4 linked regions of the Sus scrofa genome follow. The protein of the gene in region 3 purifies or fractionates together with the protein of the main gene of each other region. This does not show direct contact. Links are inferred from orthologs where the notes say so. Each region holds a gene or a part of one and is shown on either strand. Other genes may lie near its edges. The genes, in order: CHURC1, CORO1C, ACTR2 and ARPC1A.

What was found.
Region 1: the proteins of ACTR2 (region 3) and CHURC1 purify together in Homo sapiens (affinity purification with mass spectrometry; 4 studies listed by BioGRID and IntAct, with this or other methods). This does not show direct contact. The link is inferred for Sus scrofa from reciprocal best matches to the Homo sapiens genes ACTR2 and CHURC1.
Region 2: the proteins of ACTR2 (region 3) and CORO1C fractionate together in Homo sapiens (co-fractionation; 3 studies listed by BioGRID and IntAct, with this or other methods). This does not show direct contact. The link is inferred for Sus scrofa from reciprocal best matches to the Homo sapiens genes ACTR2 and CORO1C.
Region 4: the proteins of ACTR2 (region 3) and ARPC1A purify together in Homo sapiens (affinity purification with mass spectrometry; 9 studies listed by BioGRID and IntAct, counting the BioPlex papers as one, with this or other methods). This does not show direct contact. The link is inferred for Sus scrofa from reciprocal best matches to the Homo sapiens genes ACTR2 and ARPC1A.

What each region holds. Positions count from the first base shown.
Region 1 is NC_010449.5:88,991,506-88,995,069, reverse strand, and holds part of CHURC1 (protein Churchill), read right to left. Parts: intron 3,247-3,564; coding exon 3,111-3,246; intron 524-3,110; coding exon 453-523; intron 1-452. UniProt on the Homo sapiens protein: Transcriptional activator that mediates FGF signaling during neural development. Plays a role in the regulation of cell movement.
Region 2 is NC_010456.5:42,061,496-42,065,659, forward strand, and holds the start of CORO1C (coronin-1C), read left to right. Parts: upstream 1-1,359; 5' UTR 1,360-1,487; intron 1,488-4,164. UniProt on the Homo sapiens protein: Plays a role in directed cell migration by regulating the activation and subcellular location of RAC1. Increases the presence of activated RAC1 at the leading edge of migrating cells.
Region 3 is NC_010445.4:76,726,290-76,730,383, forward strand, and holds the start of ACTR2 (actin-related protein 2), read right to left. Parts: upstream 2,809-4,094; coding exon 2,761-2,808; intron 1-2,760. UniProt on the Homo sapiens protein: ATP-binding component of the Arp2/3 complex, a multiprotein complex that mediates actin polymerization upon stimulation by nucleation-promoting factor (NPF).
Region 4 is NC_010445.4:6,302,711-6,306,274, reverse strand, and holds part of ARPC1A (actin-related protein 2/3 complex subunit 1A), read right to left. Parts: intron 3,307-3,564; coding exon 3,202-3,306; intron 1-3,201. UniProt on the Homo sapiens protein: Probably functions as a component of the Arp2/3 complex which is involved in regulation of actin polymerization and together with an activating nucleation-promoting factor (NPF) mediates the formation of branched actin networks.

The sequences.
Region 1 (3,564 bases), on a different chromosome or scaffold from region 3:
AGAGTTGCTCAACTCCACATGCCTACTGGGGAAATAGAGATAACTTCCTTAGCACAGTTTCCATGCTTAGCAAGGATGGTGGCAGTGGGCAGGCTAACACTTAAAGCCAACAACTGTGCAATCACATAACTGGGTGGAGAAAAAAGGGGCATGATGGTAACCTCCTAAGAAGTCATAAAGTACTAGCTTTTTATAAGCAAAAATGACAGGACTGAGATATCATTTGTAAGACATGTATTGTGCTTTGTGACTCTGTGACGACAAGTTTGAATGGATCTACCCACATCTAAAATATCTCTCAACTTACACAGGTAGAAGACAAGGTTGGTCTCCTCTAGTATTTGCTAGCACTTCATTTACGAAGACTGTACCTAGATTTTTCAAGAGTATTTTTATTATCCCCCTTCCCCACAATAACATACCAAATAACGGACCCGAAATTCTATATTTACCTGAAATTCATCCATGATACTGAACGTATACTCATGCCTGGCTATGACATGATGACAATTCTTACACAGATCTGCCGAAAAAGAGAAATATTTAAATAATTAAGTCTTGGAAGGTGTCTTAAGACAGTAAAATTTCTATTCTTTTTTTTTTTTTTTTGCTTTTTAGGGCCGCACCTGTGGCATATGGAAGTTCCTAGGCTAGGGGTTGAATTGGAGCTGCAGCTGCCAGCCAACACCACAGCCACACCAACGAGGGGATCTGAGCAGCATCTGCAACCTATACCACAGCTCGTGGCAATGCCAGATTCCTCACCCACTGAGTGAGGCCAGGGATTGAACCTGCATCCTCATGGATTCTAGTCAGATCTGTTTCTGCTGTGCTATGAAGGGAACGCCTTAAAATTTCTATTCTTAACACGGCATTGCTTTAAAAGAATCTTAACTCTGTCATATTTAACACAGCGGGAAACCCATATCTACCTTTTCTCCCCCTTTATTTTTTAACTCAATGAATTTTATTACATTTATATTTGTACAATGATCATCACAACCCAATTTTATAGCATTTCAAACCCCCAACTCATCCCCCCACCCCCCAACCCATATCTACCTTGATAAGAAATCCAAAATCCATCACACAGCAATACTATATCATTAAGGTCCTGAACTCAGAGACTAAATGCGCATAAATTAATTCTCACTGAAAGCTCTCTAAGGTAATCAATTAAAAGATATGTACATGTTTTATGGGAGTTCCCACTATGGCACAGTGGAAATGAATCTGACTAGTACCCATGAGGATGTGGGTTCGATAGGTGAGTTAAGGATCCAGTATTATTATGGCTGTGGTGTAGGCTAGCAGCTGGAGCTCTGATTCAACCCCCAGCCTGGGAACTTTCATATGCCTAAGGTGTGGCCCAGGGGAAAAAACAAAGCAAAAAACAAAACAACAAACAAAAGATATATACATGTTTTTTAAACTAGCTGGACCTATTTATGTAAAACCTTTTATTCTCAGCAATACTAGAAATTGTGCTACTAACTAATCATAAACAAAAAGCCAATGCTAGACATTAAAGTGAAATTAGGAGTTCCCGTCCTGGCTCAGGGGTTAGAGAACCCGACTAGCACCCACAAGGATGCGGGTTTGATCCCTGGCCTTGCTCAGTGGATTAAGGACCTAGTGTTGCCGTGAGCTGTGGTGTAGGTCAAAGATAAGGCTCAGATCCCACATTGCCATGGCTGTGGTGTAGGCCAGCAGCTGCAGCTCTGATTGGATCCCTAGCCAGGAAACCTCCATATGTTGTGGATGCGGCCTTAAAAGACAAAAAGACCAATAAATAAGTAAATAAATAAAGTGAAACTAACAGTTAATAAAACGCTAATAAAAACATATAATAACTATAATTTACTGAGTGCTTAATGTGTGCCAGATACCATTTTAAATACTTTTTATCTGTCCATTCACTTAGTCTTCTCAACTCAAAGAGGTAGATACTATTGTTATCACCTTCCTAGGGATAAGGAGACACAGGTACACTGGGTAACTGAGAAGACTACCGAGCTAGCAAGTATTGGAACCAGAATTCAAACCCAAGCTTTCTAGCTCCAGAGCCCTTGCTCTTGACCACTGTGCTTTCCTACATGGAACAAAATAGAGTTTAAAGGGGTATCTGTTAAAACAAAGAAAATGATTCTTCTCATTTAGAACCTTTTTCCATATGTCTTTCACTTCTTTCAAAATATCATTATTTGCACATTTATTCCTCATATATATTCAAAACCAAAAAAAAAAAAAATCCAAAAAAAATAGGGGACAAGCAAAAAGGAAATTCGAACAGTTTAAATAGTCGCCACGATCTCTGGGCACTAAAGTAAACATATACTTAATTTACTCATAGAGATTCTCAGTGCCAACCTCAGAACTGATTTATTTTTTATTATACGAAGTCATTTATTTGATTTCCCAGTATCAGGGATGAGGAACAGCATATGAAGGTAGCCTATTTACAGCAGCCAAGGAAAAAAACTATAGACTGACCGTGAAAAAAGAAACAAAATGCTATAAAAGCAGAATCAAGACTGAAAAAAACCATACTATCCCAGGATCACTTAGTATAAGGCAAACATAAGCCCTAAACACTTTAATAGCTGTGGAGGCCATCATCATATTATACTATAGTAGAAAGTGAAAATTCACGTGGATGACTCTAAGGTTGAAAAAAAAAAGTCCCTCTATCTTGTTTCAGAAGCCATAAAGTCTTTAAAAATAAACAGGAGAGGAGTTCTCTTGTGGCACAGTGGGTTAAGGAACCAGCACTGTCATTGCAGTGGCCCAGGCTGCTGCTATTGTGTGCGTTTGATCCCTGGCCCAGGAACTTCCATATGCAACAGGCATGCCCCCCACTACCCCCCAAAAAAAACCCAGAAGAAAAGCTCGTGCCTGAATCATAAGCTTCAATTATCTGCAAAAGTCATTTATGTGGAATATCTGATGATGCTAGATTAATGAGGTATTCTTTCTGTTTTCCTCTTAAAAAACTAACTAGTAACTGTATTGCAATATGATATTGGAATAGACCTCATAATATTTTGCACAACCTAAGTCTCAAAAGCTGACACCTGCTAACAGACTTGGATGGAAAGAAGGCTACTTACGATCATAGGTAACTATTTCTTCTCCATCTTCCTCTTTGAAAGATTTGTTTGTGATCAGCATAAAATCCCGCTTATTGCATACTGCACAGCCTGTAAAGTTCAGCAAGAAAGATCCATTCTCCAGGCAGATGTTACCCTAAAATATGAAAAGCAGGCATTTAATTTTCTTATATTTCAAAATCCTTGGTGAAAATGATTAACAGACTTAAAATATCTAAAGGCAGGAGTTCCCGTTGTGGTGCAGTGGTTAACGAATCCGACTAGGAACCATGAGGTTGTAGGTTTGATCCCTGCCCTTGCTCAGTGGGTTGAGGATCTGGCGTTGCCATGAGCTGTGGTGTAGGTTGCAGACGCAGCTCGGATCCTGTGTTGCTGTGGCTCTGGCATAGGCCGGCGGCTACAGCTCCGATTAGACCCCTAGCCTGGGAAACTCCATATGCCACAGAAGCAGCCC
Region 2 (4,164 bases), on a different chromosome or scaffold from region 3:
CTGGAGTTAATAGATACAGACTCTTGCCTGTAGAATGGATTAGCAATGAGATCCTGCTGTATAGCACTGGGAACTGTATCTAGTCACTTGTGATTGAGCATGATGGAGGATAATGTGAGAAAAAGAATATATATACGTATGTGTGACTGGGTCACTTTGCTGTACAGTAGGAAATTGATAGAACACTGTAAACCAACTATAATGGAAAAAATAAAATTATTAAAAAACAAAACAAAGATGCCTTGCTTTGGGCAAGCAAGCCCTATCCTTTCAGATGGTCTGCTTGGTCATTTCAGTTCATCAGGCCCAGTTTCTCCAAATATTGGCATTTTAGAACTTGGTTTTTGAGAAATGATCTCTGGTTATAAAGAGGAAAACTTCATGCTATAGATGAAGAAATTCAGGCCAAGAGGACGAAGGGAACTGCCCCAGGATACACAGTCTGACTGCAGCAGAGAAAGAATCTCGGTGCTCTTTTAAGCTTGGGCTGCCCAGTTATTAAGTGAGGGACTTTGGCCAGGAAGAGGAAGGGAGGGACCCTATATCCTTCATTTCCTCACCTGCGAAATGGGGTCAAGACCTTAAGGCCCTCCTGTGTAGTGGTGGGGGATGTTGGTGTGGTACAGCACCGGGACCCCCACTTTGTGCTAGCGAAGTGACCAAATATAGTGGAAGGGGGAGCATAACGTCGGGAGTCCACAAAAGTGGTTGGAGGGTGCAATGGCAGCAGAGGCGGAGCTTCGGGAACCAGAGGCGGGGACTCGAGAATTCTGGGCGGGGCTTGGAGTTTTAAAGCTGTAAAGCGGGCAGTGGGCGGGACTTGAGATACCGCGAATAGGGTTGCTAGGCTATGGGCGGGGCTTCTAGAAGTTGGGGTGGGGTTTGTGACGACAAGGGGCTGGTTATGAAGGAATGAGAGAGTAGTTGGGCCTAGGGATCCAGGAGGCTGGCGAAGGGTTTGGATGGGGCAGTGGGCGGGGTGCACAGCAGCTGATGTTCTGGTTTTAAGAGACTCGGGGGGAATTTTTGAGGAGCCGGGGGATGTGGCCTTCCAGAGCCAAGCAGGTCAGTGGGCGGAGCTCTAAAGGACACCACTCCTGGTCCTGAGGAGCAGTGGGCGTGGCCTTTCGGCCACTGAGAGGACTAGTGGGAGGTGCGTGCGCTTGGGCACCGCCTTCCTCCGCGGTCCACCTGCATACCTCGGCACGACCAGAAGCGGCGCTAGGGAGAGTAAGGCGTGGAACACAGGCTGGGAAGCGGGCTTCCCCTCCCGGAAGTGGGCGTGGCGCGCCGTAGCCGGGCAGCCCTGGTTGGACGCGGTGCGGCGCGGGGGCGGGGCCTGCGTGCAGCGGCGGGGGCGGGGGCGGCTGTCCGCGCCCCTCCCCCGCGCGGCGCTCAGTGCCAGGCGGGAGGCGGTAGCGGTTGGAGGCTACGCCGGGCTTTGCAGCGGGGACTTCGGCGGCGGCGCCTCAGGCACCTCGGCCCTGGTGAGCTGCGCGCGCCCGGCGGGGCAGCTTGGGAACGAGCTGGGCGGGCGGACAGACCCTGTCCTCTCAGCATGTGCTGGCGCTGGCTGACAGGAGCCGGCGGGGCGTGGGGCAGGGCCCGGTGGAGAGGACAGGGTTAGCTGGAGTGGTCGCGCGCGGCGCGGATCCTTGGGCCAGGAGCCCGCTTGGGCGGGTGTGCTGGGGCCAAGGGGTCGGGGCTGCTGCGGGAGCCTTGGGATTTGGTTGGGAAAGGAGTTGGGGACCGAGGTGCCCAGAATGGGGAGAGTGAACCCGGGTCCTTATGGTGAGGAAGCTGCCCAGGGGAGACTTTTAGGGGCCCAGAACCCTTCTGGCTGGTGAGGAACCGAGCAGGGACTCGGTTACCCTGGGAGGTTTTTAGGGGTCAGGGATCCGCCTGGTTGGGTGGCGTCTTGAGTGGGGAGGGGCTGCCAGAGGCTAGGGCGCAGGGCCAGGGGGCTCCAGGCCTGGGGGCGGGGCTTGAGTCGCCCTGGGGAGCTAGGGGGTTGGGGGGTGGCCCTGGGCTGGGCTCACGTGGGGCCGGGACGTGCTGGGCCTTGCTTAGGAGGGGCGAGGGCGGCGGTCTGGTCTGGGGGTTTCCTACTTTGGGGTACGAGCTGGGCTCTGGGCCCTTAATAGCTGGATTGGGGGTCGAGGAGGGCGGGGCGGGGCAAGAGCTGGAGTGATGTGGGTGGGGGCGGCTTGGGAAGAGGATAAGCCCATGGTGGGAGCGCTGGGCTGGGAGGGGGCGAGGGTTGGGAGAGGAAGAACGGGGCTGGAACGCTATAGGGTCGGGGGCCTGGAGCGTCCGCTTGGACCCAGGATTCAGAGATACGCTCCCCTAATAGCGGAGCAGCTGGCGAGGGACGCAGCAAAAAGGAGCGCGGTGCAGGTGGGGCTCCGCTGCGCCTAAATGACTGAGGATGAGCTCAGATGTTGAGGGTGGAAATGCAGAACCGAGCCCTCCCGCCTGTGCGTACGGGCGCGCAAGCACCAGCTCTCCGTCTCTCAAATGATTTGAATGTGTTGGGGGAAGTGGCAGGCTGCGGGGGAGCCGAGAAGAAAGGGGCTTCCTCTTGGAGGGAGGCGCTGGCCCTGCCGTCCTTTTTTGGGAGTGTTCAAAGGGTTTTGGTCTCTGGAAAAGGAAACGTAGCTTTACTGCATCGTGGTTTAGAATCACATCCTATATTTGGCCTTAATGTAGGCTGTCCTTGTTTTGTGGTGTCTGAAGTCCTTGCTCTACATGTTGCAAACGTGGGATTCAGTGTAAGAAGCAAATTGCAAGTTGCTCATCTCCCCCAGGAGAGCAAGATACGAAGGCCTTTCTTTCCTATGAGACATTTAAATGGAATTGAATATAGTATGTGTTTGTCAACTGGTACTGGGTGGCGAATGTGTTTACTTTTGGAAATAGTTACCACAAAATATTAGGCCCTCTCACCACTGCCTTCCTGCCTGGAATTACATTCTAAAGCAGTACTTGTACGGCTCTTAGTCACTCTATATAATAATGCATTTCATTGTCCTTATCTGGCAGAACTCTCTCCTGACACCAGGGCTTGCTAGAATAGACAGAAACATGATTAAGTATAAGCAGTTGTTTTGTACCATCTGTTCAGTTGTGAAGGCAAATATCTGTTCATGTTACTTCACTTTCTGCATTTCCTATAAAACCGAAGAAATGAGAAATGTCTTATTTGGGACTTGATTCTGTATATTTCAGAAAACTAATTTAAGGAAACTAATTTTTTTTTTTTTTTTTTTTTTTTTTTGGCTTGGAGGTACATTTCAGGGTCGCAGTGTTTGGATATGAAGCCTAATAGTAACTGTTGGGTCTGAGAGGTTGCCTAAATAAATAGGAGGGTAAAGTGAAATCATGCTAGGAATTGTATTGTATATTAGACCTCAGAGTGCAGTCTTTTTTAGTAGATGTTAGTCTCTGTGTACTGAGGATTGAACAAAGATTATTATAAAGGTTGAGTATGCACCTTTTTGACATACCCGGAATGTGCTCTGTCCATATTTGTTTTTAATTATTTGTGGAAAGTGCATTAAAGCCTGATGGAGTCTAATAGACACATACCAATGAGATATCACTGCATACAGTATTGAATTTTTCATGATCATTTGTTACTTTGCCTGCAGATTGTGCTAATCAGCAGTTGTGTCTAATACTTTTATGTATAATTTGGGATTAGTTTCAAGTTGACAAATAGGACTTTTGGTGTGTATTGCTACTGTATCATTTTTTTTAATTGGGGTATAATTGACATGTAACATCATACTAATTTCAAGTGCTCAATTTAGTAATTCAGTATTTGTGTACACTGTGAAATGACCACCACAATAAGTCTAGCTACCATTTGTCACCATACAAAGTTATAATTTTTCTTTGTGATGAGAACTTCTAAGATTTGTTCTCTTGGCAACTTTCAAATATACAGTATACTATTATTGAGTATAGTCCTCATGCATCCATTACATCCCATGACTTAGTTATTTTAAAATTGGAAGTTTGTACTTGACTCCCTTCACCCATGCCCCCCACCCATGACAGATAACTTTTTAAATACCTAGACGTTTTGTTTTTTTAATGCTTGGATTTTTTTGATTTAGGTTTTATGCTAACACGTTTGTCACTTTTGAGATTCACTCCAGC
Region 3 (4,094 bases):
TTCTTAAACTATGGATTAGACATAAGACTAATCAATAATAGAGTTCTAACACGGATAAACTAATGAAATAGGAACATAAAAAAGAGCTCATGATTAACATTCCCATTGCTAACAAATATTATGGAAAAAAACCTCATATACACTACAAAAATCAGGTTCACTGCCCTTCAAAGAGGAGGTGTCCATTCAAATATATCCATGTTCAATTTCTTTTTTTTTTTTTTTTGCTATTTCTTGGGCCACTCCCTCGGCATATGGAGGTTCTCAGGCTAGGAGTCAAATCGGAACTGTAGCCACCGGCCTACGCCAGAGCCACAGCAACACGGGATCCGAGCCGTGTCTGCAACCTACACCACAGCTCAAGGCAACGCCGGATCGTTAACCCACTGAGCAAGGGCAGGGACCGAACCCGCAACGTCATGGTTCCTAGTCGGGTTCGTTAACCACTGCGCCACGACGGGAACTCCTCCATGTTCAATTTCTAAAGAGAAAAGCTGACATATTAACAAGACAAAATATTTTAAACTCAGTTTTTGAAGATTTACATTTATTTACTTATTGCCACATATGCTACATGTCGAAGTTCCCAGGCCAGGGACTGAAACCTTGCCAAAGCCATGACCCAAACCACAGCAGTGACAATGCAGGATCCTTAACCCACTGTGCCACCAGGGAAGTCCCAATTTACATTTATTTAGAGGTCAATCTGAGACTACAATGGGCACCAGGCTAATATTTTTTAAATATTGCACCTTTAACTGAATTTGAACTGTAAAAGTAATACCTGCTTCTAGTTAATTTCATTTAAAGGTAGCAATATATGTTTTGTTAAAAAAAACAAGGACAGGAGTTCCCGTCGTGACTCAGTGGTTGGCGAATCCAACTGTGAACCATGAGGTTTCGGGTTCAATCCCTGGCCTTGCTCAGTGGGCTGGGGATCCAGTGTTGCCGTGAGCTGTGGTGCAGGAAGCAGACGCGGCTCGGATCCCGCCTTGCAGTGGCTCTGGCGTAGGCCAGCGGCTACAGCTCCGATTAAATCCTTAGCCTGAGAACCTCCATGTGCCTCGGGGAGTGGCCCTTAAAATGGCAAACCAAAAAAAAGACAAAAAAAAAAAAAAAACAACCACCAAGAACATTTTTCCAATAATTCAGAAGTCATGAAGTCCTTCCCACCTTACCTCACTCTCATTCCTAGTCTCCACAGGTAACTGCTATGAACATACATTTCTTATGAATCCCTTCAAAATTTCACATACACATACACATTTGTGGACACATAAATATTTTAATAAAGAGCACATAAATGGAATTGTGGTAAATTTTTTTTTTTTTTTTTTAAGGGCTGCCCCTGCAGCATATGGAAGCTCCCAGGTTAGGGGTTGAATTAAGAGTTCTGGCTGCCCCTCTACACCACAGCAATGCTGGATCCAAGGCGAGTGTACGACCTACTCTGCAGCTCATGGCAACACGGGATCCATAACCCACTGAGCAAGGCCAAGGATCAAACCCACATCCTCATAGATACTAGTCAGGTTTGTTACTTCTGGGCCAGGACGGGAAGTCTCTCTTATCTGTTTTTTAACTCAGTTCAGATAAAGTTGGTATAATTATTGCTTGTAAAAGACTGTAACAAATTCAATCAAGGTCAGTATTACTGAAGTGAATATCAGCTCTTCTTTCCCCTCAACAATCCAGTTTCCAAACTGCTTTAAAGTTGAAATAAAATCGATTTTAACTCACAATGTTACATTTATCGAAGGAAGGGGATAAGAGTCACAAAACATTGCAACTCCAAAATGATTAGAAATTTTTGTAATGTAGTGATCACTACAGAACTCATCTAAAATAAGTGACATTTTTGTCTTCTAATTTGCTAGTTTTGCTGCCCAAATACAATTTTTTAAATAAGGAAGAGGGCGATTGAATGAGACAACTTTCAAATTACTTGTCAGTGTTCCTCTCAGATTTTTACAATGATTTTCCTTTTAGAATCTTAAATACTAACATTATCTCATCCTTCAAGTAAGGAAAGAGAGGAGGAGGGGTACCCAAACTGATTAACTTCCCCTAAGGTTAGTGGAATTAATACTCGGGACTTCAGGGGTTTAAGATCATCCACTGAAACATGCTGGTCTCTGCGATGCTGCACCTGGGCCAAATTTCCAGCATGCAGAACAAAAAGTAAATGATTCGCTGCCGAACTGGCTTCCCCTACCCTCAGAAATCAAAATCCAAAAACCCAAAAGCTTCAAACACTACCAAAGGACTAGGGTTCATTGCATGACAGCACTTCCCTTTTTTCTTTAAACTCGTTTCCTGCCTCCCGTTCCGTATCTTCAACTACACAGGAAGAGGAAGGCCTCTTGGTCGTTCTCCTTTTTACATACCGGCGACCCTGGGGACAGGAGCCCTTCTGCAGCACACAAACCCAGCCTTTTACCCCCTCCGGCCCTTCAGCCAAATCGCCGCGGCTCAAGCGCAGAGCCGACCCCGGTGGGGCGGCAGGTGGGAACCCCATCCATCCCCCGCCAGCCTGGCCAGCCGTCTCGACCCCGAGATGCTGGAGTGGTGGGCTCGGGGACCCAAAGGGCCCCGCCCGCTCGCGCCCCACACCGCGGAGGCAGGAAGTGCTGTCCCGCGCCCCTGGGCTCCGGCTGCCGGGGGCCCAAAGGTGCCGCCCCCGGCGCCAAGGGCCCGCGAGCCGCCAGCACATCCCCGCCTGGGCCTGTGGCCGCCGTACCCTCCCCGCCGAGCGCTTACCCCAGTGCCGTTGTCACACACCACCACCTTCCTGCCCTGGCTGTCCATCGTCCACCGGAAAGAGCGCCTAAGCCGCCGCCGCCGCTGAACAACCTACAGCCGCCTCCGTCCGCCGGGTTCCTCTTCCTCCTCCGCCCTCTTCCCGGCCCCTCCTTCGTCCCAACTTTCTTCCCCCAACCGGAAGTGGCCGCCCGGCCCCGCCCGCCACCTAACAGACTGCCTGTGCGGAAGAGGTGGGGATGGGAGGGAGGAGGCAGATACTGGCAATGGCGAGCTCCAATAAGAAACAAAGAAGCCCGAGGCCCCGCCCACGTCGCCGGCTCCTCCTCTGGCTCCAGCTCCACCTTCACGGTCGCCGCCCGACCAGGTTCTTCCTGTCCTCGTCTTGTTACCGGCGCCTCCCGGGGCCGTAATGGTACCCCCAGGCTTCGCATGAGTTAAGGGCGCCGCTTACCCGGCTGCAGAAGGAGCAGGCAGACGAAGGACACCGGGTCCGTCGAGGGACGGCAGCGGGTTGTGATAGAGAAGCTTGCCAGGAGGGCGGGAGGCGGGAGTAAACCTAGACATTTTTGCTAACCCACCTTTGAACAAGGCTTGGTGTGTCATTGCTTTCTAGACCTTTTCAGTGGACAGAGCCGGGGTGGGTATACACACGTGAAATCATGCATTTATGCCAATTCCAACTCAACTCATATTTGCTCGATTCGCCTTTAGTAAAATGAGCGAAAGTGAGCCTCATCGATCACCACTTCCCTCCCAACAGCACCATGTTGCTTCGTACCTCTTCTGTGTCTGTACGTCTTTGAACCCAGAGTTTCTGTTTTGACATCAGACAATCCCATTTTCAAATATGGCCCTGCCACTCAAGAATTATGTGATCTGGGCATAGCCTTGTAAATGCATGGGGATAATAACATTTACTTCCATCAGTTGTGGAGATAAAATTCTGAGCAGAGAGTAAGCGTGTTCTACACTCTTAAACGTGAAGTTCTCTCTGTAGTGTCCCTACTTATTTCTTTTTAATCCATCAGAGGACTTCTCATGCTCTCAAACTCAGTAGTCACATCTTTGAAGACTTTACAGATAATCTTTGAGATGTTCTTTACTCTTTGCTGTTATTTTTCCAAGAATGTATTTATTGGACAAACGACATTACAATTCATCTAGAAAAAAGTCATCATTTTTGAGAGGTGAGGACTAGAATTGTGCCTTTCCTCCCTGTAAAGATATAATAAGACTAAAACTTGGATCATGAATCCCCAGTTCAGTATTATACTACTAGACTGCCTTTCAGTTTCACTTTGTTCTTTTATTAGCTAGTGGTTTTCAAAACT
Region 4 (3,564 bases), about 70 Mb from region 3:
TCCAAAAGAGAAGCAGGGGAGGAAAAGCTCATAACTATTTCACTTTTTTTTTTTTTTTTTTGGCTATTTCTTTGGTTTTTCATCTTAGCCCTTTCTCTTTTAAAGTATTTCCTAATGCTGAAATTCCAATTTAAAATATGAGTGTTCTTCAGACTTGTGGTTGAGAGGGAAGGGAGTGGGATGGACTTGGAGTTTGGGGTTATAGTACATGCAGACGATTCCATTTGTTGCGTTCTCGCTATGTTATTATGTTTATGTTAAGTTCCCCTTACGGCTCAGAGGGTTTGATCCTGGCCTTGCTCAGTGGGTTAAGGATCCAGCGCTGCCATGAACCATACGTCACAGACGAGGCTTGGCTCTGGTGTGGCTGTGGCTGTGGCTATCAGCTGCAGCTCTGATTTGACTCCTAGCTGTCTGGGAACTTCCATATGCTGTGAGTGCAGCCCTAAAAAGCAAAAGCAAAAAAAAAAAAAAAAGGATAGGCAGTGGGGTCTTACTGTATAACACAGGGAACTATATCTCATCTCCTAGGATAGAACACGATGGAAGATAATATAAGAAAGAGAATGTGTAAGTATGACTGTGCTGTATAGCAGAAAATAGCACAACACTATAAATTAACTATACTTTAATAAAAAAATTTCCAAAAAAGGAATAAATAAATAAATAAATAAAGTGTTCTTATTTTTAGGCTGTAAGGCCACTGGCAAAGGGACTTAAAGAAAACAGGCCAAATCTAATGGAAATAAGGTCATGGGAAAGGAACAGTGACAAAAATAGAAGTTATGTCTTTGGTGCTGGTTTGGTAATAGAGTTAGTTGGCCCCCAACGAGCATCACAAACAAATCCATGGTAAAACCAAGAAGGGACGGTCATGAGTTTTTTGCTGGGGATACAATGAAAAGGTGCAGAGGGTCAAAACATGAGGTTTTTTTTTCTGATGGGGAGGAAGAATATTTTTAAACTAACTAGTATGTTGGGGGTTACAGGCAAAACTCCAGGGTCCCAATTAAAGTTTAAAAAATTACTGGAGTTCCTGCTGCAGTGCAGTGGACTAAGAATCGGAATGTAGTGGTTCGGGTGGCTGCAGAGGCACGAGTTCAATCCCCGGCCTGGTACAGTGGGTTATAGGATCTGGTGTTGCTACACCTCGGGTGTAGGTCAGCCGCAGTTCGGATTTAATCCTTGGCCCAGGAACTTCCATATGCTGTGGGTGTGGCCATTTAAGAAAAAAATAAGGAATTCCTGTTGTGGCTCAGTGGTAACTAACTTGACTAGTATCCATGAGGATGTGGGTTCAATCCCTGGTCTTGCACAGTGGGTTAAGGATCCAGTGTTGCTAAGTTGCAGACACGGCTTGGATCTGGCGTTGCTATGGCTGTGATGTAGGCCGGCGGCTGCAGCTCTAATTCAACCCCTCACCTGGGAACTTCCACATGCCGTGGTTGCAGCTCTAAAAAGACAAAATAAATAAATAAATACATAAATAAGAAAAAAAGAGTAAAGAACAAGTTTTCAATGTGCTTGGCCAAACTGTTTACAGAAGGGGTTGAATCACCGAGCCAGAAAATAGGATAAAAAAGAAATTATAGCAGTAAGGGTCAAAGAACAAGAGTTCTTCCTGAACATAGCAGTAAGTTCATGGGGTTTTTTTGTTTGTTTTTTTGCCTTTTCTAGGGCCGCACCCTCAGCATATGGAGGTTCCCAGGCTATGGGTTTCATGGGAGCTGTTGCCGCCAGCCTACGCCACAGCCACAGCAACGCAGGATCCGAGCTGTGACTGCGACCTACACCACAGCTCACGGCAATGCTGGATCCCTAACCCACTGAGCAAGGCCAGGGATCGAACCCGCAACCTCATGGTTCCTAGTTGGATTCGTTAACCACGGAGCCACGACGGGAACTCCCCTCCCCTTCTATTTATTGATAGTTTTTGTCAAAGCTGAAAGGTACTGTACAACATAGGAATCTGCCTCAGTCTTCGAGAAATCGACCAGAAAAAGATAAAACTCAATGGGAAAATGGTTAGGAGTTATGAAAAGTAAAGTCACAAAAAAGAGAACCCAGATGGCTGATAAACATCTGCTCCACCTTGCGATTCATCAGGGAAATGCCACTTACCGAGAGACCACTATTCACTCATCAGACGGTGCAAGCCTGTGTGGGACGCGGGAGGATAAACACTCCTGCTCAGAGCTGGGAGGATGGGGCCATCAGATGGCGCCCCTCCAGGCTGAAGACGTGCACACGCCCGAGGCACCCCAAGTCTCCCAGAGACAAACATTCACACACAGAGGGAGACCTGCCCAGGGACGCCTAATTTAGTACTTCCATGGAACAAGGGAAAAGTGGAAACAACTTAAATGTCCTTCAACGGAGCAAAGAGTAAGTAAATGAGGTAAGAATGCTAAGCAGTGGGTTGGAAAGGAATCACCTTGCTCTGGATACGCCTACTTACAGAGAGCTCAGAAACAGTGTCAAAGGAAGCTGCAGGAGAGGAATGATATGATGCCATTTATGCAGTATTTAAAAATAGGAGCCAATAGTACCAAAGCTTGTTCACACACACACACACACACACACACACACACACACACACGAGAGACAATGTCATCCCAAATTACAGACTGCCTTCTGGGGGAGAAGGACAGGACTGGTGCCTTTAATCATAAGGAACAATACTCCTTATGATTAAATCGTTGTTTCCTAAGTTTAGTTTTCTGGCACAGGAAAAAAGATAAGCAGCTGCTAATTCTGGGTGGCAGGGATACAGGTGTTTGTCACATCACTCTTTGTCCTTTTCAATATTTTGGAATGTCTTCTTCGCCCCCAAAACAGCACCCAGGAAACTTTTGGAAGACACTGTGTTCCCTCGGGACTTGGGAACACAGCTTGGCTTGCGGTTTCCCACAGCTGACCTGCTGTCTGGTTTCCGCTTTCACGTCTCCTCTCATCTAAGCTCTTTAGTCCCCAGAGCAGGTTCAGTGTTTTCCGTAACAGTAGCAGAGCCTGTGTAAGAGCTGGGTTTCCGGATGCCCTTAGAGACTGAGATCCCTATCATGGTATTTTCTCACATTGTCTAAAGAAAACTCAGGAAATGCTGCACAACCTGAAATGTTATGGCAGCCTATTGGGCTCTTCATGTAAAGAGAAGACTGCTGAACTTGGAGACAGCACAAGCTCACGGCCATCTTCCCTTACCTGTGATGTGTCCGTTGTGCTCCTTGAGTTCGTGAGCTTTCACCCACTGGCTCCCATTCTTCTTATATATGTGGACTTCATGATTATTGGGGCTAAGGGCAATCTCTGGAGAAAAAAGTGAATGAACTTGAAATTGTCACCAAAAAAGGCACATTACAGCTGGCATTTTAAAAACAGACTGAAGGAGGGGATAGGAAAGTGGTTTTGGAAAACAGTTCCATAAGCTCCTGCTGTGGTGCGGTGGGCTAATTATCTCCCCACTACAGTGGGTGTGTCTCTGTAGAGGCTCAGGTTTGATCCCCGGCCCAGCGCAGTCAGTTACGGATCTGGTGTTGATGTGGCTGTGGCTCAGGTTCAATCCCT